Mus musculus: one gene and its partners. The protein of the gene in region 3 purifies or fractionates together with the protein of the main gene of each other region. This does not show direct contact. Links are inferred from orthologs where the notes say so. Each region holds a gene or a part of one and is shown on either strand. Other genes may lie near its edges.

The links. Proteins that work in one complex are often made in the same cells at the same time.
Region 1: the proteins of Xpo1 (region 3) and Nup62 purify together in Homo sapiens (affinity purification with western blotting; 4 studies listed by BioGRID and IntAct, with this or other methods). This does not show direct contact. The link is inferred for Mus musculus from reciprocal best matches to the Homo sapiens genes XPO1 and NUP62.
Region 2: the proteins of Xpo1 (region 3) and Nxf1 purify together in Homo sapiens (affinity purification with mass spectrometry; 3 studies listed by BioGRID and IntAct, with this or other methods). This does not show direct contact. The link is inferred for Mus musculus from reciprocal best matches to the Homo sapiens genes XPO1 and NXF1.
Region 4: the proteins of Xpo1 (region 3) and Nmd3 purify together in Homo sapiens (affinity purification with western blotting; 3 studies listed by BioGRID and IntAct, with this or other methods). This does not show direct contact. The link is inferred for Mus musculus from reciprocal best matches to the Homo sapiens genes XPO1 and NMD3.

The regions. Positions count from the first base shown.
Region 1 is NC_000073.6:44,814,896-44,818,887, forward strand, and holds the start of Nup62 (nuclear pore glycoprotein p62), read left to right. Parts: upstream 1-1,192; 5' UTR 1,193-1,588; exon of another isoform or gene 1,589-1,763; intron 1,764-3,992. Other genes in the region: Atf5 (cyclic AMP-dependent transcription factor ATF-5), read right to left, coding at 94-271. UniProt on the Homo sapiens protein: Essential component of the nuclear pore complex. The N-terminal is probably involved in nucleocytoplasmic transport.
Region 2 is NC_000085.6:8,755,632-8,759,902, reverse strand, and holds the start of Nxf1 (nuclear RNA export factor 1), read right to left. Parts: upstream 2,801-4,271; 5' UTR 2,672-2,800; coding exon 2,644-2,671; intron 1-2,643.
Region 3 is NC_000077.6:23,286,208-23,291,839, reverse strand, and holds part of Xpo1 (exportin-1), read right to left. Parts: intron 5,096-5,632; coding exon 4,912-5,095; intron 4,496-4,911; coding exon 4,389-4,495; intron 2,083-4,388; coding exon 1,888-2,082; intron 378-1,887; coding exon 209-377; intron 1-208. UniProt on the Homo sapiens protein: Mediates the nuclear export of cellular proteins (cargos) bearing a leucine-rich nuclear export signal (NES) and of RNAs.
Region 4 is NC_000069.6:69,720,700-69,724,854, forward strand, and holds the start of Nmd3 (60S ribosomal export protein NMD3), read left to right. Parts: upstream 1-1,355; 5' UTR 1,356-1,423; intron 1,424-1,709; 5' UTR 1,710-1,723; coding exon 1,724-1,767; intron 1,768-3,557; coding exon 3,558-3,692; intron 3,693-4,155. UniProt on the Homo sapiens protein: Acts as an adapter for the XPO1/CRM1-mediated export of the 60S ribosomal subunit.

The sequences.
Region 1 (3,992 bases), on a different chromosome or scaffold from region 3:
CCTCAGTACTGATCTTGTGAAGGAATAAATTCTTCCTTTTCTGTCCACCCCCACCCCCAGCTCAACCCACCTCTCTTCTTAACCTGTTCTTACCTGCCAGGGGCTCTCCCCCCCCTGGAAGCCCGCCCTCCAGGGCACCCCCAAGGACCTCATAGGGGCCCAGGGGGGCAGGGGCCAGGGGGAGTTTCCCATAGTCTACGAGCCAGCCCAGCCCGCTAGCTGGGAGCAGGGCCCTGTCCAGCTCCAGTCCCAGGGTCGCCAGGAGTGACATGGCTGTGACACAGGCACAGGGCAGCGACGGCAATGGAGGCTGCACCAACAATTGGGAGGCAGCGTGGAAGATTGTTCAGCTGGGTGAAGACAGGCACCAAGGCGAAGGTGGAGGACCTGTGAGGACAAGGGGACGTGGGTGGGATTGAGTCAAAGCGGCTTGACCCACAGGCTACACAGTTTCCTTCTTTCCGAAAATTTCAGCGCTCCACACATTCCCAGGGACATTATTGGAAACTCCCCTGCCCCATCTCCTCCCTCAACACAGAAACCTAGTGTTTTCCCAGGGGAATTACCTCTAGTCCCTCCTACCCACCTCATCTTATTCCTCTTCATAAAAATTTCAATCCCAAGGGAATTTCCTTCTAGCCGTGCCCCTTCCGCATCATTAGACTATACCCCCTTTAATCCACAGGGGTTCCCAGAATAATTCTGCATGCCTGGGCCCTTCATCAGTGTCACACACACAGATCCCGCTCTTCCCTTAAAAATTTTGGTGACTTCTAAAGATTCTACGGGAAGCTCCGCCCACCCTTCTGTCTGTCACAGTCAGTTCCCGTCCCCCACTAGCAAGTCCCTAGAGGCCCCGCCCCTGTAGTGCTAGTGCTAACTCTTTCTTAAAGGTGTTCCTAAAGCCTTTCCTGTCAGTTTAAGCCAGTCCCCGCCCCAGCAGGTGTCTGATTGGAGGGAAGTTGGGCCTGAGTCGGAGCCTCAAGCAAAACCCCACCCTTCCTCGCTGCTGGCTCGACTAGCGACGAGGCGCAAGCTCAGTCCCAGGACCCGATCCATTGTTACGCCACTACCCTCCTGGGGGACCAGTGCGCGTGTTTAGCCAATGACCGGCCGCCCGCCGTAGTTCAGGCCGGGGGTGGAGGGGTGGGGGGGTGGGGGAATAAGACAATGCGCATGCGCAACAGGTTGTGGGGTTGTCTCCTTGGAGGAAAAGGGGCAGAGGGTCTGTGAATTAGCGCGCAGGCGCAACGGCGCGCGAGCCGACCTTAAAAGCCCCCAAATTCTCCGGAAGCACGCCCTCCTCCTCCCCGCCCCTCGCAACTCGAGCCTAGTGCGCTTGCTCAGCGGATGCGCCGGCCGCCAGCTTCCCTCTTCTGCGCCTGCGCGACCGTGGTTCCTCACTTCGTCTCCCCCGCCCCCACCACGAGGCTGACCCGTGAAGCCCCGCGAGCTCTGAAAGGGCGGGAAAGGCAGTTGGCGAGGGAGGGGCGAGCGGTTACTCACTCCATGGCGGCGAAAAGGCGAGGAGGCAACGGCGGCGGCGGCCTCGGCTGAAGAGACGGTGTGAGCGGAGAGTGAAGGCGCGGTGAGCGCGGAGACGGGGGCGGGGGACACGACGGGGTCGCGGCTACAGAGCCATTGCGCGGGCGGAGGCGGCGTGGCGGGAGCGTTAAGGGAGACTGTGCTGAGAGGGTTGAAAATGAGGCGGCCCCGGGGCCTGGGGACAAATATACCGGGGGCGGCGCAGCGCGGGCTTGCCTGGATCCCTCCGCGCCCCGCCCTCGCGCGGCCCCGACGGGGCGGTGGCGACCCCGGGCCCGCCATGTCGCCCTGACCCTCCACTCTCTGCTTCAGGCTGGGGGCCCGGGCTCGGTCTCCTGAATCGGTCAGATCCGATGTGTCTTTCACACCCGAAACCAGCTCGTCTCGTTCTCTCTCCCTGCTTCACGAATTTGCCACCCGAGACCTCGTGGGTTAAGCCCATCGCCGAATGGCGCAAGCTAGCTTAGGCTTCATAGAGGAGTTCCAGGCAGCAACCGCGAGATAACGCTTCCCAAGTACTTGTAGAGCGCTGTATACGCGCACAGATATATCAGCTATGGAAAGTAGGCCACGAAGTCCTAACCACGAGACTCTTCAACATATTTTTGTTTGTTTTGTTTTAACATTTATTGTGGTGGTCAGAGGAGAGCTAGCAGGAGTTGGTTCTCTGACCATGTGAGTCCCAGGGACGGAACTCGGGTCAAACTATTTGGCAGCCTTTACCCACTGCTCAGTCATTGTATTTTCTTTTAGAAAAAAACCCTGACTTCACCTCTTTTACTCTCCCTACCCCAGATTCTTAGCCATATGATCGTTCTGTGTGTCCCACCTCCAAGGTTTCTGTTTCCAGCCATCCCTGCCGACCTCTAAGGTTTTGCCCTTGCTCTGACTTTCTTGCAGTCCTTGCTCTCTTGCTGACCCCACTAGATAATTATTTCTTGATCCTGTCCAAAATAGGACATTTATATTCCATTTAGTAAAAGAGTCCCTCTTGTCCTTCACCGGGGATGATGCGTGAACCCTGTTTTCTACCCCATGTTCATGTACATGGCTGGCATTCCATGTGAAAGTCAGTCAGTGTGTCATATTTGTAGCAGCTGAGAGACTGAATGGTTGGAGATAGAGCTCAAGAATGCTCGTCTGTTTTTAACACCAGAACCTTAGTCTCTGTCCAAGCACCACATGGATTGGGCTTGACTTGCCTGTATTCTCAGGATTTGGGAGATGGGAGAAAAGAAATCATGAGTTCAGGGTCATACTGACTGGCCTCAATGTGTTTTAAAAAGAAAAAGTCCAGAGGCCAGGCTTGATATCTCACCTACTTAGGAGGCTAAGACAGGAGTATTGAAAGTCAAGGTCAGGGCTGGAGCTGCTTTGAGATGGCTCTGGTGGTGATCTCTAAACTCAACCCTCCTGAGTTCCATCCTCAGGACCCACTTGGTAGAAGGACAAAAGCAACTCTAGACGGTTGTCCTCTGACCTCCACCACCTGTAGTGACAGGTCTACATACTGAGTAAGGGGAGGAAAAAAGCTCAAGGCTTGCCTTGACTAGAAAGTGAGTTCTTGGCTGTCTAGAGAACTTAACAAAGATCCTGATTTTAAAAAAATATGTAATGGGCTGGGGTTGGAGGTTGGTGGCAGAGTGTTGGCCAGAATACTGCTTTCCAGACTCTGGTGTCCATCCCTGGTACTGTAAAAGATTCAGAGCAGGTGGGGAATACTGATTTTGAAAGTTACAAGTCCTTGAGATAATTCCCCTTGGAATGGGCACTCTTTTTTTTTTTTTAGATTTTATTTATGTAAGTACACAGGTTCTCTTCAGACACACCAGAAGAGGGCATCAGATTCCATTGCAGATGGTTGTGAGCCACCATGTGGTTGCTCTGGAAAAGCAGTCAGTGCTCTGTAACACTGAGCCATCAGAGTGTGAATTCTTATCTTCTGCCAGTGTTTGAGCACAGGCGTGATTTGATGTGTTTAGACTCCAGCCCTCCCTTGCCAGCTATGGGCTTTGTTAAGTCCATGTGGAGTCTGCTACGAATACAGAAATGGGATGGACCCAGAGCTTCATGAACTGCATGCTAAATGGACATTCTACCACCTGAGCTGCATCCCTGGGCCCCACAGGTGCTGGTTTTTATTTGAAACATTGTGCCATGTTGCTGTGCCGGTGGTGCTCCTTTCCTTGAGTTTGGTATTTTAAAGTAAACTTTTGGAATAATCGAAAGGTTTCAAAGACAGTGCAGAGTGGGGGTACCAGCCCATAGTCTTCCCCATGGTACTTCTTTTTTCTTTCCTGAGGTCCTACCCAGATGCTTCCCCCGCCCTCAGATCCACCTTAACTCAAGAGCTGGTTTTCACATTTAGCTGCCATGCCCTCCCCAGCATGTGCACAGCCGTCACTTTATGGGAGTTGTGATCATCCCTGGAGGCCTGCCACCCTGAG
Region 2 (4,271 bases), on a different chromosome or scaffold from region 3:
AAAAATAAAAAAGAGTAATGAAAGGTGAATACAATTACAACTGTGTACATGTATAAAATTACCCCCCCCCAAAAAAAACCTTAGAATTTAAAGAAAAAAGAAAACCAAAACCACCCAGAAACCAGATCCTACAAAGAAAACTAAAATGTGGAAGTATGGGCAACCCCAAAATATAACCAGATTCCTGAAAACCACCTAAAATCTGCCACTTGCATATTCTTTTGCTTATGTGTACAGTTGATGGTCACAGAACCAGATGTTATGGCCACCACCTGCAATCCTGGCAATTGGGAAATGGAGGCTTCAATTACACAAGAAATCAAAGCTATGCTGGGCTACATGAGATTCTATCCCAAAAAATAAAAAAATTCTTACAAATAGGACGTATTTAAAGTCTCCTAAAAACAACTACCGCCGGGCAGTGGTGGCGCACTCCTTTAATCCCAGCACTCGGGAGGCAGAGGCAGGCGGATTTCTGAGTTCGAGGCCAGCCTGGTCTACAGAGTGAGTTCCAGGACAGCCAGAGCTACACAGAGAAACTCTGTCTCGAAAAACAAAACAAAACAAAACAAAACCCAAAAAACAACTACCATCTCCTGCACTCGGAACTTGGGAAATGCTAGTTTCTTTGAGCAAAAATAGCCTGCACCTCGAGGGACTTATTGATTCAGGGACTGGTGCAGGTTCCACAGTAAGGAGGTAGGGAATGTTCTCCAATATAACCATTGTTTGAAGCAGGAGGATTCCGAGTTCCAGATAAGCTAAAACCCTGCCTTAAAAAGGGGAAGAAGCCAAACACAGTGGCCCATATCTTTATTCCCAGACAGTGGCAGGCAGAGAACTGTTGAGTTTTGAATGCCAGCATGGTCTACTCATTGAGTTCTAGAACAGAGAGAACTACTCATTGACACACTGTTTCAATAAATAAATTAATAAACAAACAAGCCAACCAAGTGTGGTAGTACACTGTTTAAGAAGAGGATTGGAACTACAGAGTTCAAGGCCAGACCAGGATTGAGACCTGTCTCTCTTAGTGGGTGGTCTGCATATATGTAGACAAAACAAATAAAAGGAGGGCTGAGGATATAGCCCAGTTGACAATGTGCTTGCCTATCCTATCCTTCACACACACACACACACCACCCAGGCTGAGGCAGAATTTGAAACTTCAAGTCAGTCTGGACAACTTGGTGAACCATCTCAAAAAAATAACAGCCGGGCCTGGTGGCGCATGCCTTTAATCCCAGCACTTGGGAGGCAGAGGCAGGCGGATTTCCGAGTTCAAGGCCAGCCTGGTCTACAAAGTGAGTTCCAGGACAGCCAGGGCTACACAGAGAAACCCTGTCTCGAAAAAACAAGGGATTTTCATCCTTCCTTGTCTATAGCTCTGTGGGAGAACAGAAGGCCTGGCACACAGGGAATGACCTGGAACCTCTGATCCTCTTACCTTAAACAGTGCACTACTACACTTGGTTCTATTTATTTTCCTTTTTGCCAGACCTTGAGTTTAACTCTAGGAGCCCAACCCCCCCAAAAAAAAGTAAAAGTCTATGCAATACCGAACTTGGGAAGCTGACACAGGGAGACTGACTGAGGCCAGCCTGGGATACTAGGGCTGACCCTGTAAGGGAGAATTAGCCTTCCCTAGGGATGAATTCCCTAAATGGTTATCCAATCCCAAATGGTAAGCTTTAGAAACAAATATATACACATTAACACTAAATGGGCTCTGCATGTTGGATGAATTTGGGGAGAGAGTTGACAATGGGAATGGCTAGAGAAAGGAGACCAAGTAATTATATTTGAATTAAAATAAAGGTTCATTGGGTAGCTATTTTTCAGGCCTGGATAAATCATCAGTATTACACAAATACAAAAAAGGTATAACTTTCAAAGAAATCCACCTAATATCTAGCATCCTCTAAACAACGATCCTCTCCAAGCAACCCTAGTAAAAAGGAATACATTAAGAGACAGTGAAACTACGGTTCACGGAAGAAAATTCCCACTCCAGTTACTGTGTTCTAGGCACTTGGTAGAAATTATTTCATACGCACACAAACGCACACGCACATGCACACAAACTTGGGAGACAGGTACCCACATGAAAGAGGCGGAAAACAAGGCCTGAAAGTTTAACTCACTCGGGTTTAGTACAGCCAACTCCAGATTCAAACCTCAGCTGTCATAGTGTCCTAACCACCACAATGAATTAACATGTCAGGATAGGTGTTCCGACTAGAAATTTGATAAACAATAAGCAGCAAGCTACAAGAACAGACTGATCGTATCACAAAAAGAAAAAGAAAAATAGGGCACCAGGGTAGCCCACGACCAAGCGACTACTGACTCACATTTAAAGGAAGAGTCGGGCCGCCAAACTGAACTGACAGGCATCAACCACCCTCAAAGTTGAAAGGAATCTTGTCACCCCACCCCTGAGCCACAGGTTCTCCAACGCCTGAATCCGGGCGACTCTGGAGCCCCTGGGTCCCGCGGCGCCCCGCGCCCCCTGCCCGCGCGGCCACCGCTACCTACGGACGTAGGGCTCCTCGCGGCCTCCCGCCCCCGGGCTGAGGCCTAGGCCAGGGCCGCCCACCCCAACCCACCGCGTCGCCTCCCGGCCCGAGGCCCCGCACTGACCGTTGTATGACTTCCCTTCGTCCGCCATGGCACAGGCAGGTACAGGGGCGGGCTCAGGCGCAGAACCTGACGCCACCAAACGCCAAGGAGCCTTAGCGCTCAGGACAGAATCTCTCCTACGACCGGCGCCACCGCATTTATCCGGCGAAGCACGTCGCGCGCCGCCGACGTCCCCAGGATGTGGGCGGTGCCGCGGGACGTGAACGCGCTCTCTGAGCCTGCGCAGAAGCAGGGCGGCCGCTCGGGGGCGTGGCCAGGCCCTCCGAGGCCCGCCCACGGCCGGAGCTCCGGCCGGATGGCCTATCGGCCGGCCCCGCCTTCCTATTTCTTCGCTGGCCCGGTCCCGGAGCTAAACCCTCTGCGTTAGCACTGAACTCAAGAGGAGCAGGGTCGAGGGCTACACACAAGAATGGAGACCTGGCCTCTGAACGGGAGTAACGGCCCACAGTCCCCGCCGGTGGGATCCCGGCAGCGAGTAAGTCGCAGCTCAGTTCCTTGCCAGCCGCTGGCCTATGCCCTCTTAGCTTTTCTCATCTCCACGACGAATTATGACGAAATAGAAAATTGGAATGTAAGCCCCACTGGAGCAGGAACCTTAACTAATGCGAACTTTTCTTCCTCCAGCACAGTATCATGCCCAGTGTGAAACCCAAGTGTGAATTAAACGAAATCCTGTCCTTCGTAGGTTTTTAAATTGACTAATGAAAAAAGGTCTTTTAAATTGACTAATGAAAAAAAAAGTCAAGTCGGGTGTAGTGGAGCAGGTCTTTAAACCCAGCATTTGGAAGGCAGAGGCAGGCAGATCTTTGAGTTTGAGGCCAGTCTTGGCTCTATAGAAATTTCTAGAACAGCCAGAGCTATGTAGAGACCCTTCCTCCAAAAAAAATAAAATAATAAAATAAAATAAAAAAGCTTTAGTCTTACTATCAATACTTTGTCCAGTTCAGAGATAGGGAACACTACATAGACCATCTCAAAACAAAATCAGGGATCTAGTGAGCCTTAAGCCTTGATCTTCACTTCACTCAGTCTGTCATACTGAAGCCTAATTGGTAGACCCAGGTCAGCTAGGTAGGTAGCTAGGGAAAGTTGCTAGTTTTGGGTTTTGTTTCTTGAAACAGGGTTTCTGTGAAACTTGCTTTGTAGACCAAGTTGGCCACAAACTCAAGAAATTCACCTGCTTCCAACTCCCAAGTGTTGACTGAAACTTTAATGTCAAACCCAAGAGCTCTAGGAAACTTTTCTGGTGTGGCTAGGACTATTGCAGCCTTGGATCCAGATGCTGCTGTGGGAGGGGGAAGCAGATGGGGTGCTGGTAGGCATGGAGCATGACTTGATTTGAAGATACAAAACAGGCTCAAACTTATGGGTACTGTCTTGGAAGTTGCCGCCCAATTATGAACCCACTTAGTCCAAAGGAAAACTCTTATGAAGTGCTGCTGTACTTGGCTACTCGCTTCTAGGGGGGAGTTGTGTGTACAGAGCTCCGGAGCTACCCTGCCTATCAGTAGGGGCCCATCAGAGTCACTGACTTAACCCTTTTGGTTCTGGTATTGGGCAGTGGTTAGCTTTTTGCTGAAGTCCCCCCCCCCCCCCCAGAAATGACATCAACACTAGTGAGGCTGACA
Region 3 (5,632 bases):
ATGAGCTCTATGAAGGATGATGAAACATGTCCCTACCAGATGCTAGAATGGCTCCATTTAAAAGTAATCAATTTTCACTGCTGAATTGACTCAGTATTTTAGAAATCCCTGAAAACTAGATGCTCATGCCTCCTCCCCCCCAAAATTAAACAGTTACTGAGACTTAAGTGTCTATTTCTGCTTTATCAAATAACTTAAATGTATTTACCTGTATCTGCAACATTCCTCATAGTATGTTTAAAAGCCCAAATAATAGAATCCAAAACCAGCTTGAACTGTGCAGGTGGAATAGCTAGGAATGCTGGGAAACAGTGAGAATTGACAGCTTGAAGTAATAAGAAAAAGTTTGTTCTGTGTTCTGGATACTCTTCAAAATCCTAAAATAAGAAAGAACACTGAAACATTTCAATGCCTTAAAAGAGGAAAAGTTTCTATTTGCATCTACCTTCAAAGTTTCCCCCAAAGGAAAGCCCAAATTTTAGGATTTGTTATCATTTCTTGTTATCATTGGTTTTCAAAGGCAGGATTTCTCTGGATAGCCATGGCTGTCCTGTCACTATGCTTTGTAGACCCAACTGGTTTAGAACTCAAGAGAAATCCACCACCTCCAGGCTAGAATTTATATTTTAAAGATTTAAGTACCATGCTCTGGAAATATTCACAAATCAGCAAACACAGCCATGCTTGTCATGAAACACCTACTCTCAGAAAGCCTGCTGAAGTCTGAGGCCAGTTTATGGTTGGCAAGAAAATGCTCTTGTCTCAAATCTACTCACCAAAGGTCTGGGTGTGTGTTTACATCACAACCCATCTGGAAAACTTTTTTTTAAAAAAGATTTATGTGCCTAGCAGTGGTGGCACACGCCTTTAATTCCAGTACTTGGGAGGCAGAGACAGGCTGATTTCTGAGTGCAAGGGCAGCCTAGTCTACAGAGTGAGTTCCAGGACAGCCTGAGCTATACAGAGAAACCCTGTCTCAAAAAAACAAACAGAGGATTTATGTATTTCATTTATGTGAGTACTCTGAGCATCAGACCCCAATACAGATGGTTATGAGCCACCATGCTCAGAACTGAACTGAGATCAGCCCAGGAGGAACTTTTAAATGCTACCACCCAATTTTATCCTGCTACATATTGAAACCAAAAAAACAAAAACAAAAACAGTAGACTATCTGCTATCCCCTAAATTTTAAAAGTTATCCCATACCGAGGTTCAGTCCAGATTTAATCCCCACCCCTTTCTTTTGTTGACCAAGCTGTTATATGTGTATGTCATATATAGACCAGAAACCTAGCTGTGTTTGCTAGTTTGTGATTATTTCTTTTTCGTTTTTTTTTTGAGACAGGGTTTGTCTTTATAGCCCTGGCTGTCCTGGAACTCACTTTGTAGACCAGGCTGCCTTGAACTCAGAAATCCGCCTACCTCTGCCTAGCGAGTGCTGGGATTAAAGGCGTATGCCACCACGCCAGGCTGATTAGTTCAATTTTTAAAATACAAATTCTAGCCTGGAAATTTGTAGAGCACACCCTTAATCCCAGAGGCAGGCAGATCTGAGTTCTAATCCAGCTGGATCTACAGCGTGAGTTCCAGGCCAGACATGGCTACCCAGAAATTAGAGATCATAGTTCTATGCATGCACCTCTGCCCTTTGAGCAGTCTTAGGTCTAAGTGTGTCCGTGACCAGTCTTTTTGTCCTTTTTTTCTTTTTTGGGGTGGTGGTGGTGTCAAGATTCTGTTAAGATGACAATTACTATAAATTACTATAAATATAATACTTAATTCTAGGACTTCGAAACTCTAAAAAATAATTGTCATTTATATATTTAGGAGTGAAGAACATACTACAGAATCTTCCATTATATAATAAAAACACAGATCACCTACCTTATTTATCATATTCAATGTGCACTCAAAAACTGCATCGAATATTTGAGGTATTTCAGCTGTTATATGTCCACCTAATTTGTTGACAATAATGGCCATAGTACTAAGCACTTCTGGTTCTCTAGCAGCTGGTACATTTCTCTGGTAATCAATAAGAACTGCATCCAACAAAGGAGGAACAAAGTTTTCAGCTACCTGTTTGGGGGGTAAAGTAATATAGGTCACTCCAGTCTCTAAGATAATTCAGATTATCTGATGAGATATGATGCTAAAATATTTTAGCAACAGGAACCGGTAAGGTCAACATTAACAATGGCCATAGATACTAGTTAGTTTAAAATGTATCTGTGAGTCTCATTACATAACAAGGTTGGACTCAAACTCATGGCATTCATCCTGCTACAATTCCCAGGGCTATGATGACAGGTGTGTACCAAAATACCACCTTCATACATATTCAGTAGTTAAGAGTCCTAAATTGAGATCTTCCCATCTTCTGAGTTGGCCATCATTGGGAAAAGAGGTCCCTTGGTATTGTAAACTTTATCTGCCTCAGTACAGGGGAACGCCAGGGCCAAGAAGTGGGAGTGGGTGGATAGGGGAGTGGGTGGGGGAGAGGGTCTGGGGGACTTTTGGGATAGCATTTGAAATGTATATAAAGAAAATATCTAAATAAAGAAATAAGTCCTGAATTGGCTATATCCAAAATACTATAAGACCAGACTTCAATTAACAGTGGGATAAATAAATCCAAGAAGACTTCAGTATTCTGTGGCCACTGCTGTGAAGAAGCTGATTCAGGAAGAAAGCTGGATACAGTGAGTGGTTCTCTGTACCTACACAATCTAAACATACATGAATACGTTAAAAAAAAAAAAAAGAAGAAGAAGAATTTTATCAGAGTTCGAGCTGAAGATAAAAAGTAATAGCTCGGGCTGGTGAGATGGCTCAGCGGTTAAGAGCACTGACTGCTCTTCCAGAGGGCCTGAGTTAAAATCCCAGCAACCACATGGTGGCTCACAACCATCTGTAATGGGACCTGATGCCCTCCTCTGGTGTGTCTGAAGACAGCTACAGTGTACTTACATATAACAATAAATAAATCTTTTAAAAAAAAAAGTGTTTATGGTAACTTCCCTAAGCACAAGCAGGCTCAAGAACTTCCTGCATTTTAAAGGTGCTCAAACTGTGAGCGACAGCAGTAGCTCTCCTGTGGTCGCCTATACATACTATTAGTGCAGTAACACACACTCCAGAACTGCAACCAGTCACTACCATTCACCTGCCTCATACTACATTGTCCTGCACTGATGTTTCACTTTGCCATTCTCAGCATAAAATCTTCAATGGGTTTTTTTGTTTTGTTTTGCTTTGTTTTGTTTTTTTTTTCAAGACAGGGTTTCTCTGTATAGCCCAGGCTGGCCTGGAACTCACTTTGTAGACCAGGCTGGCTTTGAACTCAGAAATCCAAGTGCTGGGATTAAAGGTGTGCGCCACCATGCCCAGCTTTCAATGGATTTTAAAACAACAACAAAATCCAAAAGACAAACAGCAAAAAACCTCACAGACTCTCTTTTGTGTAGCCCAGGCTATCCTAGATCTACCTGACCCTGCCTCCCAAATAAAAGTGTGTTCCATCACCACTAACTGTGTAACTCAGGTTGGCCTATAAAGGTGATTCTCCTGCTCTGCCTACACCATTAAGCAGATGCTGTTTTAAGACAATGAATAAATACTTTAGTCCTAGGTATCAGGCTTACATACACACACACGTGTAGGTCAGAGAGGTTCATCTATGGGAGTTGATCTCCTTCCACCATATGGGTCCCAGTGTTGGAATCCATTGAGATTTGGCAGAAAACTTCGTCATCCACTGAGCTGGCTACTGACTGCTCCAGATTCCATTTTACTCACAAACATTATAGCTATATCACACAGTAATAGTGAGTATAGGGCAGGATCCTATTTTTGTTGCTGATATGAGGATCAGGCATAGCAATCTGCTATAGTGCTCTTTATGTAGTTTTAAATCTGAAGTGGTGACTTTTTTTGTTTTACTTTGATCATCATCAAAGCTCAAGATTACTGATGAGGGCTGTTAAGATGATTCAAATCCTTAATTTGTAATCTTTTTTCCTCCTACCTCACAGCCACTGTAGTAGCTTCAGCTTATGAACTATATGGCCTGGATTTCCTAAGTGACCTAGATATAAAATATGAATTCTATTGACATCTTGTTTTTATCTTAACAACCCTTCAACCTACCTTTGGACATATCTATAGCCCCAAATAACCCATTCTTATTTATTATCATCATCTGTAGCAAACAAATTTCTTCAAAAGCTAAATCACTATCTTTTTTACTTTAAAAGGACTCCAACTAATACTAGCACTAAATAACCCTAAACACAGACATTTAACTATCTTTTAAAAGCAAATACATGTAGACAGGATATATTAGAGAATATGAAGTAAAAGAAAAACAAAAACAAGAATCTTACCATCTGAGGATCATTGGAACGGCTCACCCAACCAGATATTAACTTTAAAGTTTCCCTTTTTACTGTCCGCATACTTCTAATCAATGGTTGCTTTGTAACCATCTCACCTGAAGAACAATCAAATATAAGCTAACTGATAGTATGCAAAGTTAGGTCTACTGCAAATAATATAACTCCACTGACCATTTAAAAAGCTGTACCTTCAAAAGAATTTATTGGGGGAAAGGTTGAATGGAAGAGAGAATTCCAAAGTGCAAACCACCAAATAGCCAAGATCCAACACACAGCTTTGGGCATTTTGCAAAATAGTTACTCTGTTAATAAAACTATACTTGTAGGCAAGACTAATCTTAGTTAACTAGGCAAGACTAATCAACCAAGCAATTGTTGAGAAAGGGTCTTGGACCTTTTGACCCCAGACAGCAGGTTTACTTAAATGTGAGAAGAGCAGAAAGGGTAAGACAGTGAAAGCAGAAACCCTTTATCCAGCATTCTACCTCCCCAAGAAGCAAGAATCACTTACCATTAGCTTGAATAGCTGCAGAAATATTTTCACTGAGGCACTTATATACATTAAGCATGTCTAAATAAATTCTGCCAAGCTGAATTACAAAGGGATGACCAACAGCTTTGCAGGCTCTCACATTTGTTTTTAATATGCTACCCAGCTGCTTGACTGTTTCAGGATCTTTCAGGATATCCACATTCTGAAATTATCACAATAAAGCACAACCTCATTTATTGAAAACTTCATCTTATTTGAAATCTCAAAAGACAACACAAGGCCTGGGTTATAGCTCAGTCCTAAGATATTTTACAAACAGGCGGTGCCAAGCTTAATCATACCTAAAGCTCAAGTACTTAAAAACCTAAAGAGTGAAGTGAAAACAGTCTCACCTAAGTAAGATCAAACAGAATGTGTGTGTCTTGGCAGCACATCTCTCCAGGTCCCCTAGGAGCCCACAGTAAACTGTCTCAACTATCATGATCCCACACAAAACAAAATCCTGTCACCTTTTCTGTCTTTCTCTTATGTTGATCAGAGTGCTCTGGGTCTCAGCGGATTTCCAACTTGTTATGTTGCCAAGGATGGCTTTTAACTTTTACTCCTGGCCTCTATTTCTAAGTGTTAGGATTATGCTTATGCACTACCACATCTGACTTCTATAATGTTTCAATTGTTCAAACTCACATGAAAGCACTTATACAGTAAGGAATATAGCTGAGTGGGTTAAGGCCTTCAC
Region 4 (4,155 bases), on a different chromosome or scaffold from region 3:
TAGTATGGACTACTGAGCCATCTCTTCAGACCACTTTCCCCTCTTTATGCAGGTGCTGGGTATCCAACTCAGATCCTCGAGCCTGCATGGCAAGCACCTTACTGACTCAGCCATCTCCCCAGCCTCCAACGCTAAGGCTTCTATTGGAGTTCTTAGGACTCTCATGTATAGAATCATAGCATCTGCAAATAAGAATATTTTGGTTTCTCCCTTTCTTATTTGTATTCCCTTTATTATTTCCCTTGTCTTACAGCCCTAGCTAAAAACTTCCAACACTCTATTAAAAGTGGAGAACATAAACACCCTTGTCTGTTTTAGTAGAAATTAGGCATATCTTTAAAAAACAAGTAACTAAAGTTTATACTGTAGTTACATTTCCATGTTCATTATAAATGTCTTATAAAACACAGATGATTGTGTGGAGCTGGAAAGGTGGTGGCTCAGCAGTTAAGAACATCTGCTACTCTCTCCCAGGACCAGAAGAGCTTGGTTCTCAGCCTCTGTGTTGGGCAGTTTCAAACCACCTGTAACTCCAGCTCCGGGGCGTCTGACACCTCTTCGGACCTTAGAAATGCTAGGGTCTTCCTTTTGACATCAGTTTCGGTTACAGTTGCGGATTTACCTGTTTTCATCTATTTTGTGGATCCACTTCTGAGAAAAATATGTTTCAGATGATTTCTTTAAGAATAATACTTTTCTTTAATGAAAAACATTTTATATTTTCTGCTTACTATTAAAAGTACAGTGTTTGCAATATAATAGAGAGTTTTCAGTTTTTCTTTCTTTTCTTTTTCTTTTTGCATCAACTGTTTAGTAAACAGCGATTCGATACTCTTAAGTTGTCCATGGTGATATTTACAGTGGCCATGTTTCTTTAGAAAGATCCATGTATTTTATGTATTTGAGTGTTTGGCCCGCATGAATATATATGCACCAAGTTTGTGGTTGGTGGCCTCAGAGTTAAGAGGGCGGCAGATCCTCTCCAAATGGAACTCTAGACGTCAGTGAGCCCACCCTGTGAGTGCTGGGAATTGAACCCAGGTCCTTTGTAAGAACAACTGCTTTTAACTGCTGAGCCCTCTCCCCAGGAGCTGAGAAGTGCATTTTAAAGATACGGGGGCGGGTGGAACGGTGAGCCTATCACAGACACCAAACTGTTGTAATCACTGTCCCGAGCCTGCTCAGCTCGCCCGGTCTCCCGTATCCCCACCCACTCACTCCATAGGCCCCGCCCCTTGCTACACGTGTATTCTTTGACCCCGCCCACCCGTCCCCTTCTCCCGCACCCTTCAGCACGCGGGATTTCCGGTTCTCCTATCGCGAGATCTTCGTAGGTGTGTAGCGCGGCTGAGGTAGCCGGTAGTGCGTCCTGGCCGGCGGGTTGCCCGCTGTGGGTGTATTTCGCCCTGTCACGGAGCTGCTGGTAGGTTCTGGGTGGGAGACCCGGCTCCTGCGCCAACAGCGGCCAGACGAGGGAGCGAGCCGGGCCCTGTACCCGGGCTGCGAGCGGCCCGCACGGGCGCCGGGGCGTGGGTGTGGGGCCGAGGCCGGCCGCATGCGGAGCCGCGGCGCGGAGGAGGGCGGAAGGGCCGTGCTGGGCGGCGGCTCGCGACCCCCGGGCTTGTGTGCCGCACGCATGGCTGTCCCCGAACTCAGGAGACTCGACCTGATGGATCCAAGTCTCACCGGTCCTTCCCTCCCCTTGATAGGTCGCGCGCGAACCATGGAGTACATGGCAGAGTCCATTGAGCACAGCCCGGGACACATGTGAGTTGCGAGCCCGCCCTGATCGATCCCTTGGCGTCTGCAGATCGTAAAATACCGAGAAAACGGTTAACGCTAGCAGGAGAGGTCCTTTTCTCGGTGGGAGAAAACGGTTGGGTCTTGATCGCATAGGAAGTCTACCCCATTTTAAGTCCGGTGTAGAAAAAAATGAGTGCTTTGAGAAGACGTCCTCCTAGAGGGGCACGAGTGGACGTGTACGGTTGTCACCCGGCTCCTCTGTCGTGCTAGCCACATGGTATGCGGTGCTCACGTGCAGCTAGTGGCCACCACTGGAAGATTATCTTAGTTTTCTTTGGGCAGCCGTGGGCCACGGTGGCGGAGGTTCACAGACTTTTTCTGCTGTTTCGTTGAAATCTTACTTTCGATGGAGCCAGTCCTGTTAGATTGGCCCTGGAATTCACTCTGTAGCCACGGCTGACCTTGAGAGCCTTGTCCCTTCAGCCTTAGCCTCCCAAGTGCTGCGATTATGTCAGGCCTGCTTCACAAAATTTTTCTGCCTCCAGTACACTATAGAGTTATACTCCTGTAGCTTAGAGCATCGGTAGGCATAGGTGCTCTTCTTGTCCTGTATTTTTGTCTATTTCTCCTTTTAAAAATTACTTTGTAACATAAAATACAGGGTTTCATTATATTTTCATGTATATAGGAGGGTCCGCATATTTAACATTGTACAGCGTTCATATTTACCCTACCATTGATCTTCCTTAACCCTCCTACCCCCTCACAGGTCCCTTTCCTTTCCTTAATAATCTCCTTTCTGTTTTCATGGAATACGTACATTTTCCTTTACTGTTCATTGTGGGTCCCTGTAAAGGGGGCCTGTTCGCATCTACGCATTGTAGATGCTCAGAACAAAGGGGGCACCCACTAGCCGAGTCAGATGCAAGAGAAACGAGAAACGGATCTTACATATATTGTTTGTTTCTCTTTGTTGTTTATTTTTGCTTTTGAGACAGTCTTACCATGTTAAGTCCTGCTTACCAGGAACTCATAGAGAGATCTGTCTGCCTCTGCCTCTGCCTCGCAAGTGCTGGGTAAAGGTCTGCACCATCACACTTGGCTGTCTTTTGTTTATATTGTTGAATTTATGTGCACATTAGTGTTTGCTATTGTTGTTAGACTATTTGCATTGCTAATTTCTTTTTTTCTTAGTTTTCCAATTTTAAAGAAGAGATGAGGGACTAGGACATTTCTATCATTGCATGAAGTTCATTAGCATGACAAAGTCGCACAGTGCCCTCTTTAAGCATTTTCAGAATTATGGCCCTTTGATTTTTGCCGATGTTTCAGGATTCTTCTTCACTCTGTCTTTAAGATTGCCTTTTTCCCCTCTTCGAGACAGACTCTCATGAAGCTCTGGCTGGCGTGAGACTCACAGATCTGTGTGCCCTGCTTCCTGGTTGTTAAGACGAAAAAGATTTCCCCCCACACCCCACTTGTCTTTTAAAAACAAATCAACTTATTTTATTCGTGAGTGTATGTGTGTGTGCTAAGTGCATGTAAGAGGCCATGGACATCAGAAGAGTGGTAGACTCTCCTGGAACTAGAGTTACAGATGGTTGTGAGCTGCCTCTTGTGTGCTGAAAATTGACCCCAGTTTGCTATAAGAGCTGGAAGCACTTTGACCCATTAAGTGTCTCCTCCCCCACTTTAAACAGTAGAATCTTGAAGGCTTTGGCTTGGTAGGGGTTTTTTGTTTGTTTGTTTTGTTTTGTTTTTGACTAGTAAATGTATAAAATCTAATTGGAAAAAATCTGCTTTATTTTCTCAAGCTTGTGCTGTGAATGTGGTGTCCCAATTAGTCCAAATCCTGCCAATATTTGTGTGGCCTGTTTACGAAGTAAAGTTGACATCAGCCAAGGTGTTCCAAAGCAGGTCTCCATTTCTTTCTGCAAACAGTGTCAGAGGTACAGTACATTACTACTTGTTTAGCTTCCTTAAGTTGGTCTTCATACAGAGAGCCACTGTGTTATGCTGAGATTACTCTGAAGTATACGGAATGAAACGTGCTGTTGAGTGTTAATTTTTACCTAGTTGATGTTACCAAGGATATAATAATTTGCAGTTTTATGCTGTGCTTTCTACTGTCCTACTAATCTGGTAAGGATAGAAAAAATATTTGTATAAAAGTGAGATACTGAATCTGACAGTAGAAGACGCCTTCTGAGAGCTGATGCATTCTTTCTTCAGTTTCGTTCCTTTAGTTGTTGGCTACATCTGTTTACATCTATCCATATGTCTAGTGAGAGACTTAAACCTTGTCAGTGAATATAAAAATTATATGCCTGTGACTTCCCAGATAGGTTTAGCATTTGCTTTGTGTATGTGGAAATTGTCTGTGGACCTCTGTAAGAATTCAAAATGTATTTC